Tribolium castaneum: one gene and its partner. The protein of the gene in region 1 interacts with the protein of each later gene in a biochemical or structural test. Links are inferred from orthologs where the notes say so. Each region holds a gene or a part of one and is shown in the gene's direction. Other genes may lie near its edges.

What was found.
Region 2: the proteins of N (region 1) and Su(H) form a complex in vitro, tested with the Drosophila melanogaster proteins (4 studies listed by BioGRID). The link is inferred for Tribolium castaneum from reciprocal best matches to the Drosophila melanogaster genes N and Su(H).

What each region holds. Positions count from the first base shown.
Region 1 is NC_087400.1:109,697-117,439, reverse strand, and holds part of N (notch), read left to right. Parts: intron 1-374; coding exon 375-530; intron 531-2,545; coding exon 2,546-2,728; intron 2,729-4,293; coding exon 4,294-4,837; intron 4,838-5,245; coding exon 5,246-6,009; intron 6,010-7,235; coding exon 7,236-7,743. UniProt on the Drosophila melanogaster protein: Essential signaling protein which has a major role in many developmental processes. Functions as a receptor for membrane-bound ligands Delta and Serrate to regulate cell-fate determination.
Region 2 is NC_087398.1:4,882,467-4,890,689, reverse strand, and holds Su(H) (suppressor of hairless protein), read left to right. Parts: upstream 1-3,831; 5' UTR 3,832-4,148; coding exon 4,149-4,994; intron 4,995-6,069; coding exon 6,070-6,747; 3' UTR 6,748-7,295; downstream 7,296-8,223. Other genes in the region: DNA excision repair protein ERCC-5 homolog, read right to left, coding at 1-744, 797-2,792, 2,852-3,027, 3,092-3,179. UniProt on the Drosophila melanogaster protein: Transcriptional regulator that plays a central role in Notch signaling, a signaling pathway involved in cell-cell communication that regulates a broad spectrum of cell-fate determinations.

The sequences.
Region 1 (7,743 bases):
AGTTCCGGAGTTATTGCTCGATAAATGTTCCGGGTACCGGAAATCTCCCAAAATCGCGACAAAAATTAAAAAAATCAAACAAAAAAATCGAACATATGGCCTTTTTCTGGACTTTTAACAAGTCTGGAGGGTTGTTAGGACATATAAACGTCCATAAAACTTTGCTGGAGTGAGTTAAAAAAAATGACATTTTTTTGAAGATATTTGCCTTGACCATAAAATTTTAAGCAAAATTTTAAATCACTGGAACAAACCGTATTGCTCTACGACTTGTAGTTTTTTTTTAATGAATTTTTTTAGTGTAAAACTGTAACCGGAACTGTTGCCCGGAGGGGCTATTATATTTAGTATTTATTTATTTTTGGTTTGTTTAGGTTTGTTGTGTCATCTGGACGATGCCTGTACAAGTAATCCCTGTCATGCGGATGCAATTTGTGACACAAGTCCAATAAATGGGTCATATACTTGTAGCTGTGCATCAGGATATAAAGGAATCGATTGTTCAGAAGATATAGACGAGTGCGAACAAGGTAAGAATTTAGTGTTATTGACCGATCACCACGTACATTCGTCAAGCTTTTCTGGTCATGAATGTGAAATAAATCGATCTGTATTTGGATTAAAATTATCTCACGAAGATTTTTTTTGTAGAATTTTATTTCGTATAATGAGCACGTGAACGAGATTTTTAAGACATCCATAAATTTTTAATGACCATTCCTGTAACAAACTTTTTACTCGCGTATTCTTCATTAATCAGTAAAGTGGTGTTTTTTGCTTATTACATCTGTCAGTACAGTGGTGAACATTTTGGTTCATTGAACTTGATTTTTTTCCGAGAGAGAATAAAGGAAATGTATTAATTTTATCAAAAACTACGATGGTGCTACATAAATACAGGGTGACCCAGGGGTGTGTTATAGTCCGATTATTATAATGATAAATTGTGGGTTCGTTGAACTTTTCAAAAAAGTGTATTTTTTTAATAATGAAACCGTTCACACTCGTGTCGCAATCGCTTCATTTATTTAAATAAGAAAAACGTTCATTTTCGCTCACTTAACGGCTCCGATTTCGACGTTTTTCTTTCGAAAAAACTCTATGCTAATGGAATATCTGTTGAAGCGGAGAAACTCTCATCGCACGAAGAAATCCGTCTTAAATACACAACGAATCTAAGAAATCGACCAAGAACAAAAAAACACACAATTATTTTGCAATGTCAGAGTTTTAATTTATTAATTTTTGGTTTTGACGCCACCTACGTTCAAATTTCGGTATAAATCGATCGATTAGCGCGAAGATTAATGATCTTCCAGCGAAATAAGAAGAGAAAGTCTTGATACGAGTCTAAATATTATTCATGGACTTTGTGTTACAATTTATGTAATGATTTAAGAAGTTATTTCCACTTGTGGGATAATGACCGGTTGTTGGAATATCTCTAATAACACTACGCCACTGATGGATTTTTTGTGGTCGTTTCACAATGAAACCGATCATAATGAACAATGATGGGAAAAATTACAACATACCAACACACACATACACAATAATAATAAAACGCGAGGGTTGCAGTATAAGATGCATCTTTGGGACTTATTCGTGCGTTAAGTTTGCCATTTCTAGGGGAATTTATCGATCATATTTTCCACAACCTTTTAACCTAGCACTAAAAATTTTTCGCATAATAAAAACTACATTTTTATCACTTTTATCTTGAATCTCTTAAATTGAATAAATTTCTGACCGGACTTTTTTGTGTTACGATCGTATCTCTGATGATTAGAATCCAGATATTTAATTAGAAATTAAATTAAAACTTGATTAATTGAATTTTAATTGGGAAACGTCAGCCACCTGAATACCTCAGTGGCGTACCGACGCAAAAATTATTGGTACTGTGGTAACAATACCAAATTACCATGGCAACAAAAACTATGTATTACTATGCAGCCATTCCATGAAAAAATGGAACTATAGTGGCGGTCAGCTCGGTTTGCGTGTGCGTCATCAATTTCATTTTTTCATTACCAACACAAAGCTGTAAAAAAATTATCAAAAACAATGCAAATTTAAACAATTAAGGGGTATCTAAGGGTGGTATCCTTGAACATTAATTTACATATGCACTTCGACAACACCATCAAGTGTCACGAATTTGTCAAACTGACATTGACAGTAAATTATAGACGTCATCGCATGGTTGTCGAAAGTGTTGTCGGTGTTAATCGCAAGTATTTTCTGTTCGTTTATTGTGTTTTGTGATTTGCGTTTCGTTAGGTTTTTGATTCTGCGTTTATTAGTTCTTGTTTTGTGAATCTGTATTTTTTGTAACAACTCATAATTTAAACACTTCGTAACCTCAAAAAATATTTGATAGTTTGTCACCGCTATGCCCCTGCTATGTAAACGTAGTGACAGAAATGTCAGATGACGCACACGCAAACGGAGCTGAGCGCTACCATATAAAATAGTTATTATTTAATAGTTAAGAACGCCACTGCTTTTTGAGTTTTTTTTTCTTGTATTTTTTGTATTATAGGTTCGCCATGCGAACACGACGGAATCTGCGTTAACACCCCCGGCAGTTTCGCATGCAATTGCACGCAAGGCTTCACTGGACCACGTTGTGAGACCAATGTAAATGAATGCGAATCGCATCCATGCCACAATGATGGCTCCTGTTTGGATGATCCGGGAACATTTCGTTGCGTTTGTATGCCAGGTGAGTTACACGTAAAACTTTTTGTTGGTAGTTTTTAACGGTGACATGAACTGGAATCGAGACAATTTTGATTTCGTTTCTCGCGGTAATAATTAGATGAACTTTGGAGGCATGTGAACGATGTGTTTCGACCTGCTTTTGCGAGCTACAAACAGTATCGACACGACTTTTTGCCTACGGTGGTACGAGATATGGGCGGGATTGATCAAGCTTGGCTCTTGTTTTAAATTTTTAATGTTACGCCACTGGTGCAAATGTCAATTGTCACTGAAATATCGTTTATAACCATGGTTACGTATAGATTTCTATGGCAACGATGGCAGGGCCGACTCGTCCGGGTCGGGGAAAAAAGGGTTAATTAATTTGTAATAACAAATCAGGTTTAACCGGAAATAAGCACAGTTTTCTTGTTTTGCATAGGATACGAACTCGTAAGTCATGCCTGAAAAAATGTTGTTTCTTTGAGAAAAATGTCTCACTTTGGTGATAATTAAAGCTAGAAGAACCGGTCGATGAAATGACACGACCCATTTGAAACGTTTACATAGTTTTTTCGAAAAAATTTAATTACGTTCAAACGCATGCATTATTCAAGCGATGAAAAAGATCGCACCGTTATTATATGAGAATGAGGCCAATTATCATCATCGTTAATAAATAAAATAAATAAATAAAAATGAATCTCGAGCAAACTGAAAACCACTATGCAAATGAATTCGATGCGCTTCTCTCTCGCGATGAAATAAATTTCGAAACGAAACAACAATTCGTGTGTCATTGAACGCGGATTCTCTTCATCATCTAAGCGGCGTTTTATTCAATTACAGGTCGCGTGATGAGATTTGATTGTAATTATTCGTGGCTATTTTTTTTCTTCATTCTTTTATAAAACGTTTATTGTTGACGGAGATTTGAAACGTGGGAGGAGAAAAATACGAATAGTCGAAGAAGGCTGTGTTGGATGGATATCGTGAAAGCATAAGCGGTTGGGCGTGTTTACAAGAGAAGGCTTGCACAACAACCGTTACCGATACATAAAGGTTTATACTTAATTCATAAGATGGTTGAGCGAGGCGAAGCGAATTTTATTTTCGAATATTCCCGCCACTTTGCAACATGAGCGACTCGTCTCCAGGGTCATTTTTAGTTTTTGAATTATTGCAAAAAAATTTGTAATTTTTGTTTTAATTTTTTCAATCGAAAATTAAAATAACTAGGACATATTTTCCAAGGCGTACTTGATGTCCGAGTTACAATACTCAACTTTGGCCATATTCACTGTTTGTATTTTTTAAAAGTGTTTTTATTCCTGATTCCAACGGTGTATCATATGATATGATTGAATCTTACATGCTGATCAAAATGGCAAATAAGCATTTTTGCGTAGTCTGCTTTGGAAGAAACGTGAACAATTTTGTTTTTAAACAAACTAGATTTTAGAGGTTTAATTGAATTTGGATCTGAAAGCGATTTGATTAGCTAGAATTTTATTCTTCGCAAAATAAAACAAGACAAAGTTAAATCAATTTCATAAATGGGGAAAAATAACTTAAAAAAATTTGCAGGTTTCACCGGCACCCAGTGCGAAATTGACATCGACGAATGCAAAGATCAGCCCTGCCTTAACGGCGGTGTCTGTCATGACCTCATCAATTCGTTTAAATGTAGTTGTGCAATCGGTTTCACCGGTTCCCGTTGTCAAATCAATATCGACGATTGTGTTTCATCGCCTTGTCGAAATGGTGGCACTTGTCATGATTCAATTGCCGGTTACACGTGCGAATGTCCGCCAGGTTTCACCGGTTTGTCATGCGAAACAAACATCAATGATTGTCAATCGTCGCCATGCCAACATGGCGAATGTCTCGATGGTGAAAATTCCTTCAGTTGCACGTGTCATCCCGGTTACACCGGTTACCTGTGTCAATATCAAATCAACGAATGCGAATCGAATCCGTGCCAATATGGCGGCTTGTGTCAGGATTTAGTCAACGGTTATCAATGCCTGTGTAAAGCCGGGACTTCAGGACCGAATTGCGAGATCAACGTCAATGAATGTTACAGTAACCCATGTCGGAATAATGCAAGATGTGTCGATGGAATTAATAGGTAAGTCAACGGTTATAACCGGTTATTTCAAAACCTACATTAGAAACTTTCATGCTTCTATTCTAATATAGTTAGAACTTAAACAATTATATGTCAATTTTTTGTTAAAATTTTTATTTGCTGGAGTTTATTTTATTTAAAATGTCGTTGAATTTTTTACAATAAGTGAATGTTTTTTTTTAATTTGATAACCTAAGGTTTGAGAAAATTGTCAATTGTCACAATTCAAGGCTAATGTGATTTTTTTTAAGTTTTTAATGTAGGCCCTAAAAGAATCGCCGTGTATAACATACACTAACCGATTGATTTTTTTTTTACATGCGTACAGTAGGGAGTAAGTAGTTTTACTAACAATAATTAATGGAGTAAATACAGGAAACTGTAATGCCAATTGTGTTTGTTTTTCAGTTATAACTGCGAATGTATTCCGGGATTCACCGGCAAACATTGCGAGAATGACATAGATGAGTGCGCTTCAAACCCGTGCGCCAATGGGGGCGTTTGCATCGACATGATAAACGGTTTTCGATGCGAATGCCCACGTGGTTACTATGACGCTCGTTGCCTTAGTGACGTTGACGAATGCAATTCAAATCCATGCAAACATGGCGGCAGTTGCGAGGATGGCGTCAATCAATTCATCTGTCATTGTCTACCAGGTTACAGTGGTAAACAATGCGAAATCAACATTGATGAATGCGCGTCAAATCCCTGTCAACACGGTGGCATTTGTCACGATCATCTCGCCTCCTATACTTGCGAATGTTTACCCGGTTATACTGGCATTAATTGTGAAACGAATATCGATGATTGTGCGATTAATCCGTGCAAAAATCGTGGCACGTGTATTGATCAAGTCAATGATTATAAATGTGTGTGTGAATTGCCGTTTACTGGACGTAAGTGCGAAGATAAGTTGGATCCGTGTACACCGAACCGGTGTCGGCATAACGCGAAATGTACGCCAAGTTCGAATTATAAGGATTTTGCGTGTACTTGTAGCGGGGGTTATACGGGGCGGTTTTGCGATCAAGACGTCGATGAATGTGTGGTTTCGAAACCGTGCCGAAACGGCGCCACTTGTAAGAATACCAATGGGTCGTACCATTGCATTTGTGCGCTGGGTTATGAAGGAAAAGACTGCAGTATTAATACGGATGATTGTGCTTCACGTAAGTAAAAAATTACAGTACATCTCCACAAACATACAGGCTGTCCTTAGAAAATTAAACTTTTTTTACGAAAATTATTTTCAAGTTTACAGCGTGTTTCTAAAATTAGCTACAACACAATGGAACAACCTTAATTTTTTTGTTGAATAATTTAAAAGTTTTAAATGAAATTTCCTGAAATTATCTTTTAATTATTAACTTTTTTTTAGATAGACAATTTAATAATGTTTGAGAAGCAAGAACAAAATATTGAGTGTTCCATTTTCAAGTTATTCAACTTTTGACAAAGTTCTTATTTTTTCTGTTTCTAATTGTAATACGCCAAACAATTAGAACAGATTTAAGATTGAACTTTTCCCTTTAAATTAGTGAAAGTCCTACTTTTCTACGTTTCTCCGTTTTTGTGTAATAAATTTTTAAATGAAACGTGTTTATGTCAAAAAAATCAAATTATTTCAAAAACTAAGCCGAATCGACTAATACAAGTTGAGATTAAAATGCAATAAAATTTAATTACTGGTTTTTTAATATTGGAACATCCTGTAATACTTTAGAAACATGGAGCAGAAGAAAGTCAATATCTCTAATAATTAACAAGCTTTGGAGCTTTTTCGGATCGTTGGGACAGCCTGTACATTAACAGAACAGTATAGATCTAGAAAAATACATTAACAGAAATGTTAAACGCAGAACTGTACAAAACAGAAAAGTGGTGGGGGGAATGCACTAGCTCAACAGAGGGCGCTGTTATAGGTGGTCATGGCTTCCTAGGTATTTGGATTTTAAGTGGCTATGGTCTGAAATTTTAAAGTTTTCGAAGTTAATGGAAAAATAAGCATGCATTTTTTTATTTAAACAGAAACTAGCATTTGAAATTTTGAAACGAAAAGAGAATTTAGTACTATTTTTTTGCTTTGTTTATTGTATTTTTTATTTTCTCTGTTGTTTTTTATTGTTTTTTTGTCTTCTTTTAATTAATTATTTTTTAGAAACAGGCATTTTTTAAATTGAAAACATGGTTTGTTTTAAAATAATCAGTAATTAATAAAAGAACAGAAAGAATAAATGTAGAAAACAGAAAAATAAAAAATCGAACATTTATAATATTTAAAGCTATTTTCTTTGGGATAATGTTCGGTTCTGTCTATGACCGATTCTGTGAGTGTACTTTTCTAGTCCGCCCAACTGTTGAACTTGACAATTGCCACCTAATCTAAAATTTCCAGATCCGTGTCAAAATGGCGCCACTTGCCTGGACGACATTGGCGATTACACCTGTCTATGTGTGAACGGTTTCGAAGGTAAACAATGCGACATTGACATCGACGAATGTTTGTCAAATCCGTGTCAAAACGGTGCAACTTGCAACCAGTACGTCGATTCATACACGTGCACATGTCCATTGGGTTTCTCCGGCATTAATTGTCAAACGAACGATGAAGATTGCACGGAAACTAGTTGCATGAATGGTGGTACATGCATTGATGGTATAAATTCGTACACTTGTACGTGTAAACCGGGCTTTACCGGCTCAAATTGCCAAAATCGTATCAATCTATGTGACAGTTCGCCGTGTTTAAATGGCGCTACATGTCAAGACCATACCACGCATTACACGTGTCATTGTCCCTATGGTTACACGGGTAAAGATTGTGGGGAGTATGTTGATTGGTGTTCGACGAATCCATGCGAAAATCAAGCGACTTGTGTACAAAACAAAAACCAATATCAGTG
Region 2 (8,223 bases), on another chromosome or scaffold:
TGACCTCCTTTTTGTGTAACCTTTGTAGATTAACCGTCCTATCTTTGCGTTCTTCAATCTCTTTTTGAACCTCTTGGTGTATTTCTTCCACCCGCTTCTTCGACCTAACTGTGGTCGCCTTCAAAATTTTAATTTCCTCATCTTCACTCTTCTTCCCTCCTCTTTTCTTCTTCTTCTTCTTCGGTTCATCCTCCTCCTCGAATCCACCCCCTTTCCCTATCTTATCAAGAGCAGTCTTAACTCTCTTACTCATCTGTTTCTCCATCCCCCCCGAATCCACTCTATACTCAACCTTGAAAAAATCAGTAATTGCCTTCTGACTCTTACTCTCCCCCATTCGCCTCAAAATCGGATTAAGAATCTCCTCAGTCTTGGTTTTCGTCCAACCAAACTTTTGTCTCGCAAACTCCACTAACCCAAAAACGTCAAGCTTCCCCCACGTGAAACTCTCCTTACTTGTCTCAACTTGGGGCTCCAGATAGGCTTGAACGATCTGCGGATTCGGAAAATTCTCCGTGAAACTAACATTTTTCAACTTGCTGCGAAGTGAGGTCCGGCCAGGAGCGGGCATTTTTCCCTTTATGACCCAATTTTTAAACTCTGCCAAACCCGAAATGAGTTGATTTTTCGGCGGAAAAGCGGCCAAAATTTCCAGAGCCGTCACTGGACCCACCCCAGTCAAGCCAGTGGTGTAGTCGCTCCCCACCAACATGGCCAGGAGGATCATTTGTTCCCTTGTCAATTCTGCAAAAATTAAAATAAAGAATAATTACTACAACAAGAAGCTAGACTGTACTGTAATGGTGCTGGATGTTGTCCGATTTAAACTCCATCACAACTTTGTTTTGGTTGAAAAAATTCTTGTAAACGGTTTTTCCCCCAAACAACCAAATGTCGCTATCGTCGGTTATGGTACCGTCCGTGAGACCAATCAGCTCCAGGAAAGCGCACTGAGCCTCGGCCTCCATGGGGGCTATAATGTAGGGCACCCCAAATAATTCCAGGAGTTCCTGGGCTTCTTGGAACATTTGTTCAGTGATGTTTCCCGCAGTTCTTTCTTTTGTTTGCTTCTCTACTAACAGTTCTGTTTGTTCCTTTCTTAAATTGTCTCTCATTTCGCTCAGTTGCTCAACTGTTAATTCAGTATTCGCTTTGTTTTCTTCATTTTCTTCATGAGGTTTCGTATATGCTTGGACCATCTTCTCGATCTTATCTTTGAGTGACTGACCTGACGGTCTCTCTTCAATTGGTTTTTCTTTCTCCACTTCTTTAAAAGCATCTTCAGTACTACTTGAAACCTCCGTTTTCTCTTCAACTTCCTCAAATACGTCCTTGAAGAGATCGTCTTCAATTTCTTCATCTGGCTTTATCACGACCTCCATAGCAATCTCTCCGTTGGTACTTTTCTTCTCCTTTTCTTCATCTACATCTACAAAGTCCTCATCGTTGCTAGAGGCAGAATCTGACATCACCTCAACTGTATCTTCACTGACGATAGAAGTGGTAACTTTATCTTCATCTAATTCCGCAATATCTTCAATACTGTCTTTGGTAATTTCACTACAAACATTTGTACTTCCAGTCTTGTCTGTTTCTTCTGTTATTTCTTCATTATCCTTAGTAATATCAGAACTACTACCAGTTTTATCTGCTTCCTCTTTGCTTTCTTCAGGTTCCTTAGCAATGCTACTAGAAATATCAGAACTACTACTGGCTTTATCTGTTTCTTCTTTCCTTTCTTCAGGTTCTTTAATAATGCTACTAGAAACACCAGAACTACTCTCTTCACTGACTTTCTTCATTGCTCCACTTTTACTGGCAATAATTTTGGCAATTTCGCTGGGAGTCAGCCCACTGTACTCCATCATGTATCTCTGAGCTGGTGTTAACTTCGTACGAATTACTTCTTCTTCTTCACTGGAGTCCGAATTTCCAAAATCAGCATCTTCAAGAAACGATAACGACAATCGTTTCTTCCCCCTAGAACTGGACGGTTCCTCCCGATTGTCTTTCGTTTTTGATGTCGACGGTTCCGCCTCCAAAGACAAGGCTATGGCCTTCTTCAAATCGTCTTCAAATTCTTGCTCCCCTTTATTCTTCACATTCTGTCCCTCGTCGCATTCTTCGCTTTCTTCAATCGTTGGTAAATCCTGCTTTTTGGCCTCCTCCACGGCCTGCTTGATGTCTTTGATTAAAAGAAACCGCGTGTTTTCGTCCGAAGCGATCCGACTGCCTTTCAAGTTCGTTATAACCCCCTGGTCTTTGAGCAATTTTTCCAGCTCGCCCAGCGATAGAGAATGGCCCCCCATTTCTTTTTCGACGTCTTCAAGGGCGGTTTGCACCGACTGCCTCTTCAAGAGTCGTTTCATTTGATAGGTGGAGAAGTTGTCACTTTGAGTGGGCATTTCGTGGATGCGCCCCCATGAAGACTGCTTCCGTGTGTCCTTCAAGTCGGAGAGGATTTCGTGCCGGACGTCGGCCGGTAGCGACTTGAATTCGGCACTTTCCGTGTCAATTGAATGCAAGTCGTATCGGGGAAGCCCCGAGTCTTCCGAATCCGAGTCACTTTGTGACAATGTGGAGTCGAGAGACTGGGACGGGGGCAAGGCGTAAAGCTCGTCATCGTCTTGTTTTGATTTTTTAGTGGGAGAAGTTGAGGCGGTTATTGCCGCTTTGGCTTTTTCGGACAAGACTTTGCTAATCGCGGTGTGTTTGACTAAGGCTGATAGGAGGTTTTTGTGGATGCGGTCCGCCTCGGACAAGGTTTTGGACTTTTGCTGGTTGCGTAACGCCTGGGAATTTGCGGGAAAATGCAACTGAGGTTATGTTTTTTTCTCATTATTTTACTCACTATGGTTTGTCTTTTGAGAACTGGGACGCCTCCGTCGAAGACAAACACCGGCTTGATTCTGAAATAGAGTAATTTGCATACTCTGTGGTAGATCCCCAGCAGGTGCGCATGGGGGACGGCGGCCCCCTTGGCGTCCTGGAACCCCTTGACGATTTGGTGCAACCAAATCGAGACATCTGTCAGATTGCGTTAAGGTTATAACCGATCAAGCGTGACGTTTGAAATGTCAATAAAGGATACCGACAGCTAACACTTTGTTTTCGAGAGATTCCAGAGGCACGGGTTTGCCGGAAGGCTCGATGAGCCTCCACAGACCGTGAACTCCCATAATATATTTTCTGGTAAATAATTCGAGGCGTCTGATGGAAAAAATTCCCACGGTCTGAGGCGGCGATGAACGACCGCGACACGAACGTCAGTCAGTTCCCATGATTTAGATGCGAAGAATCATCAAATCAGAGGAAAACAGACCTAATCTCGTCCAGCGGTCTGAATTACATCTCTCAGTATCAAATGTTTGAGAATCGCCGAGGCCACCCACTCTTTCCCACACCATGATTTTCCCACGCCCTGGCTGTAACCCCAACATCCTGCGGGAGGGCAGGGGGGCGGCGCTAAAGGCACCTTCACAAGGGAGGGGACCCATTCATAAACACGCGGCCAGTGGCGTGCGCCCAAACGCCAATAAAACCACCACATTCTTTTGTCAGGCAGCGGCGCCGCGAACTTCCTAATACTGCTATCTTTGTTAGAACTTTTTAGTTTTCTTCTTTTTAGAAATAAACATTATTTATAATAATAATTGGCACCTAATTAGATCAATTAGATTAGGTATCAAGGTAGAAAATCCCTCACTAGGATTAATCCTCCAGTGGCGTCTCGCCTCCGCCCCTGTTGTGTCATCCACTACCGTTTTACGCGTGTTAGGTGTAAACCCGCCTTAACGCTACCAAAATTACATAATTTTCAGCGACCGCCGCGCCCGCCCCGCCCGCCCCGCCCATGGCCCATGCAGACCCATCAGCCCATCTTGGGCCCTCTTGAGCGTTAAAAAATTCCAAGAACGCGTTAATTCGGGCACTTCCTGTGAAAACTCGCCTTTTGAAAGTTGGCCATCCTGTCGGAAAATCCTCTCTCCAAACAGGTGTTTTTCGAATGAGATACGGGGGGCAAAGGAGGGGGAAGCATGGCATTTGTTCTCACCGTGTGTTGCGGTAGCCGTGCGAAGAGTTGGCTGTGAGTGCATCGATAAAACAAACGCCAGTGCGATGCGGCCTACTTGATTAAGTGTTTCGAAATGCCCCATCAGTACGGATTGCCGGGCATAGCCCACGCTCAGTCGCCCCCGACGCCGCCGCCGCAGCACGGGGCCATGTACTCGCGGTTCTCGGGGGCGGTGGTGCCCGGGGGCTACCGCGGCGAGGACCGGCGGCTGACCCGGGAGGCCATGGAGCGGTATCTGCGGGACCGGTCCGACATGGTCATCGTGATTTTGCACGCCAAGGTGGCGCAGAAGTCCTACGGGAATGAGAAGAGGTTTTTCTGTCCGCCCCCTTGCATTTATCTGTTCGGGGACGGCTGGAGGCTGCGCCAGGAGCAGATGCTGCGGGAGGGCGAGTCCGAGCAGGCCTCGCAGTTATGCGCTTTCATAGGGATTGGGAACTCGGACCAGGACATGCAGCAGCTGGATTTGAATAATGGGAAGCAGTATTGTGCCGCGAAAACTCTCTACATCTCCGATTCGGACAAGAGGAAACACTTTATGTTGTCCGTGAAGATGTTCTACGGGTCGGGGCACGACATCGGGGTGTTTCATAGCAAAAGAATCAAAGTTATCTCGAAGCCTTCAAAGAAGAAACAATCGTTGAAAAACGCGGATTTGTGTATTGCGAGTGGTACCAAAGTGGCGCTTTTTAACAGACTTAGATCTCAGACTGTCTCCACGCGGTATCTGCACGTGGAAAATGGACATTTTCATGCCAGTTCCACACAGTGGGGTGCTTTCACTATACACTTGTTAGACGACAATGAATCTGAAAGTGAGGAGTTTCAAGTACGGGATGGGTACATTCATTACGGTTCTACAGTCAAACTGGTGTGTTCTGTCACCGGAATGGCCCTCCCGAGACTTATCATTCGAAAGGTACGTTTGAAAAAAACATCAACAAAAAATTGAGGTTATGATTCGGCAACATGTCAATCTTTATATTCCCCATAATTACGCAAAGGAACGCTCCCTGCAAGCAGTTACGGCCATACCATGACCGAATTCAGACAAAATAATGATTTTCCAGATGATTCATTGCACAAAATTCGATATTTCGATACAAATGTTGACCCAGCCCGTGATTGGCCCATTTGAGAACACATGTCGGTTCCCATCCTATCAAAACTCGCCGCTCACGCGGGCGATTCGAAGCCTATTTTGGGGAAAGAAAAACCTACTAAAATAATACAAACTATTGTAATTTTCAAGAAACACAAAATATTATGTTTTTTCAGCCATTAAAATTACAAATGTGCTTTCTTAATACTCATAATAATAATTAAATATTTCACCACGTCATTGACTTTCTTATGCTGGATGTTCAAGATTTTTTTTTTTGTCATAATTTCGTCCGCATATCATTTTTAATGCCTTTAAAAAGCATAACATGCCTCTCGACAACATCAGATTTCTCCCTAGTCTTCCTACGCTAATTACGAATAAACTCTTAATACTCTTTTTCACCGACCTCATCAGAAAATATCGTAAAGAAAGAAAGCTAATTTCTCGCCAAAATGTCAGAAGAAGCCCCAAATCTTTATTTTGTTTCTACATTTGGTGATTCTCTACTACGCTCTGCAGGACTTGGAATCCGCCGATTTTGAGACACCTTGTATTTATTCTTTATCTTACTTACACTTTAAGGAACCCGTTGAAATACAGCTACATTATTATTAGAATTATTTAAGTTGTGTATAATTTGACAGTTCTCCAGTTACGATTTATCTTTACTTGGTCAAGTATTAATTGAAAAAATTGTGATTGAAACTTCCTATAATTCCTGACGGTATTTTTTTTATTTTCCACTTTTTTACGTTTGTACAGGTCATCGTATTGCAAATTTTTAACGTATTGTAATATAATTGTTCTCTTCTCTTTGTGGCGTCTTTTTTTGTTTCGTAGTTTGTGTTTTTTGGTTCAATTTTGTAAAGCGTTTGTTGTTTTGGTCCAGGTGGACAAGCAGCAGGCGCTCCTCGAAGCCGACGACCCCGTGTCCCAGCTGCACAAATGCGCCTTTTACATGAAAGACACCGAACGCATGTACCTCTGCCTCTCCCAAGAGCGCATCATCCAGTTCCAGGCCACCCCTTGCCCCAAAGAGCCCAACAAGGAGATGATCAACGACGGCGCCTGCTGGACCATCATCTCCACCGACAAGGCCGAGTACCAGTTCTACGAGGGCATGGGCCCCGTGCGCTCCCCCGTGACCCCCGTGCCCATCGTGCACAGCCTGCACTTGAACGGCGGCGGCGAAGTGGCGATGCTGGAGCTCACGGGCGACAACTTCTCGCCGTCCCTGCAGGTGTGGTTCGGGGACGTGGAGGCCGAGACCATGTACCGGTGCCAGGAGTCCATGCTGTGCGTGGTCCCGGACATCTCGCAGTTCCGGGGCGAGTGGCTGTGGGTGCGGCAGCCGACCCAGGTCCCGGTCTCCTTGGTGCGGAACGACGGGATTATCTATGCCACGGGGTTGACGTTCACGTATACGCCGGAGCCGGGGCCCCGACCGCAGTGTTTGCCTGCGGACGAGATCATGAGGCATGGGCAGAGGAGCGCGGCGGCGGCGCAGGGGCAGAGCCAGGCGCTGACGCAGGAGGCGGCGTGGAACTCGCACGGAGGGATGCATTAGGGGGTGGGTAGGTAGATGCAATAAAGTTAGGTAGGGTGTACAACGACCATTGTGTTTTTTCTCGAGTGGACACTCAGTATTAAATTTTGAGATTGGAAGTGGCACGAGTCTTCTGTATTATGATTTATTGTGATATGTTTTTTGAGTAGGCGGTCGTAGAGAAGCAAAAGTTGGTATCAATTTTTCCTTATTTTTTAATTGATGCAGTTGACCGGCCTAAGACTTGTAGGATGTGTTTCTACAGCGGTGTAAAGAGATACTTAGCCTTATGAACAAACCAAAGTTATGTAAGTTTTCTAATTGTCAGTCAGAATGAATAGTCCAACAATTTTTACTTAGTATTAAGTAAATTATGCTCAATTTGCCGATGAATAATAAATAATAGGTAATAAAAAATCTCGACAGGAAAACATGACAACAACGAATTTATGGCAAATGTAATGAGTGTAAATATCTTTATTAGAATTAGTTTTATTCTACGTAAAATAATACATAAACAAACTGTACATGCTGCATATTTTGTAGAAATAAAAACTATTTGAATAATATCACCATTCTTCAAACCCCTAACAGAAAAAAAATCACAGTGAGTACGGAAGGCCTTCCGCATTTTCACATCCATTCAAGTCAGTTCTCACGACAAAATCTCATTTTCTTGAAAATGATTATTCATACATGTGGGAATTCGGGTCTTAACAATGGTATTATTTTTAATAATTGCTTTTCCTACTGTATATTAATTAGTCGGTCCCATTCCCACAATTGAGGTGGGAATTCTCATCTCATTTGATTCTTAAACTTCTGTTTGCTCATGTAAGTGAGGGAGATATAGGGGGTCACAAGGTCGCCCAAGTTATAGCTAAGGGAGGTTTCGCAAGGAGTCTCTGACGATGGTTTTGTGGCAGTATGTGTTGCCCGAAGGGCTGGGTGACGAGGATTTTCTAAGACGCAGTTCGATTAATTGGCGATGTTAATTAAGTAAATAATTGAGTTAAGCAGTTAATGAATGAACATGCAGCAATAACAGGAAATCATATAATCATGAAAATGCTCTTGATGGCTTCACATAATAACATACGTGAGAATCCAAAGGCTATTGTTGAGACGGTGAGGTTTATTAATGGGTTGATTATCTGATTAGACGAATGAGGGAAATTGGAGGATTAAAAGTAAATCGGCGTTTGTGTAATTTTGCAATTTGCTCATTAGTGACACAAAAGAATTATAAATAAAATAGTAACTCGTATGATGAAAAGATAAACAAATAAAATCGTATTTTCTTGTAAAAAAATTGAGGCAGTAAAGTACCGTTTACTAGAGAAACTAAGGTCCTATGATTTTTTTTAATTAAGTAAAGACTTACAGATAAAAACTATAAAAAATGTGGAGAATAAATTCAGGAAAATAAAATGTACGAAATCAAAGAACAGTGCAAGATGCAACAACAGCTAAATAAAATTTGTAAAACGATTTAAG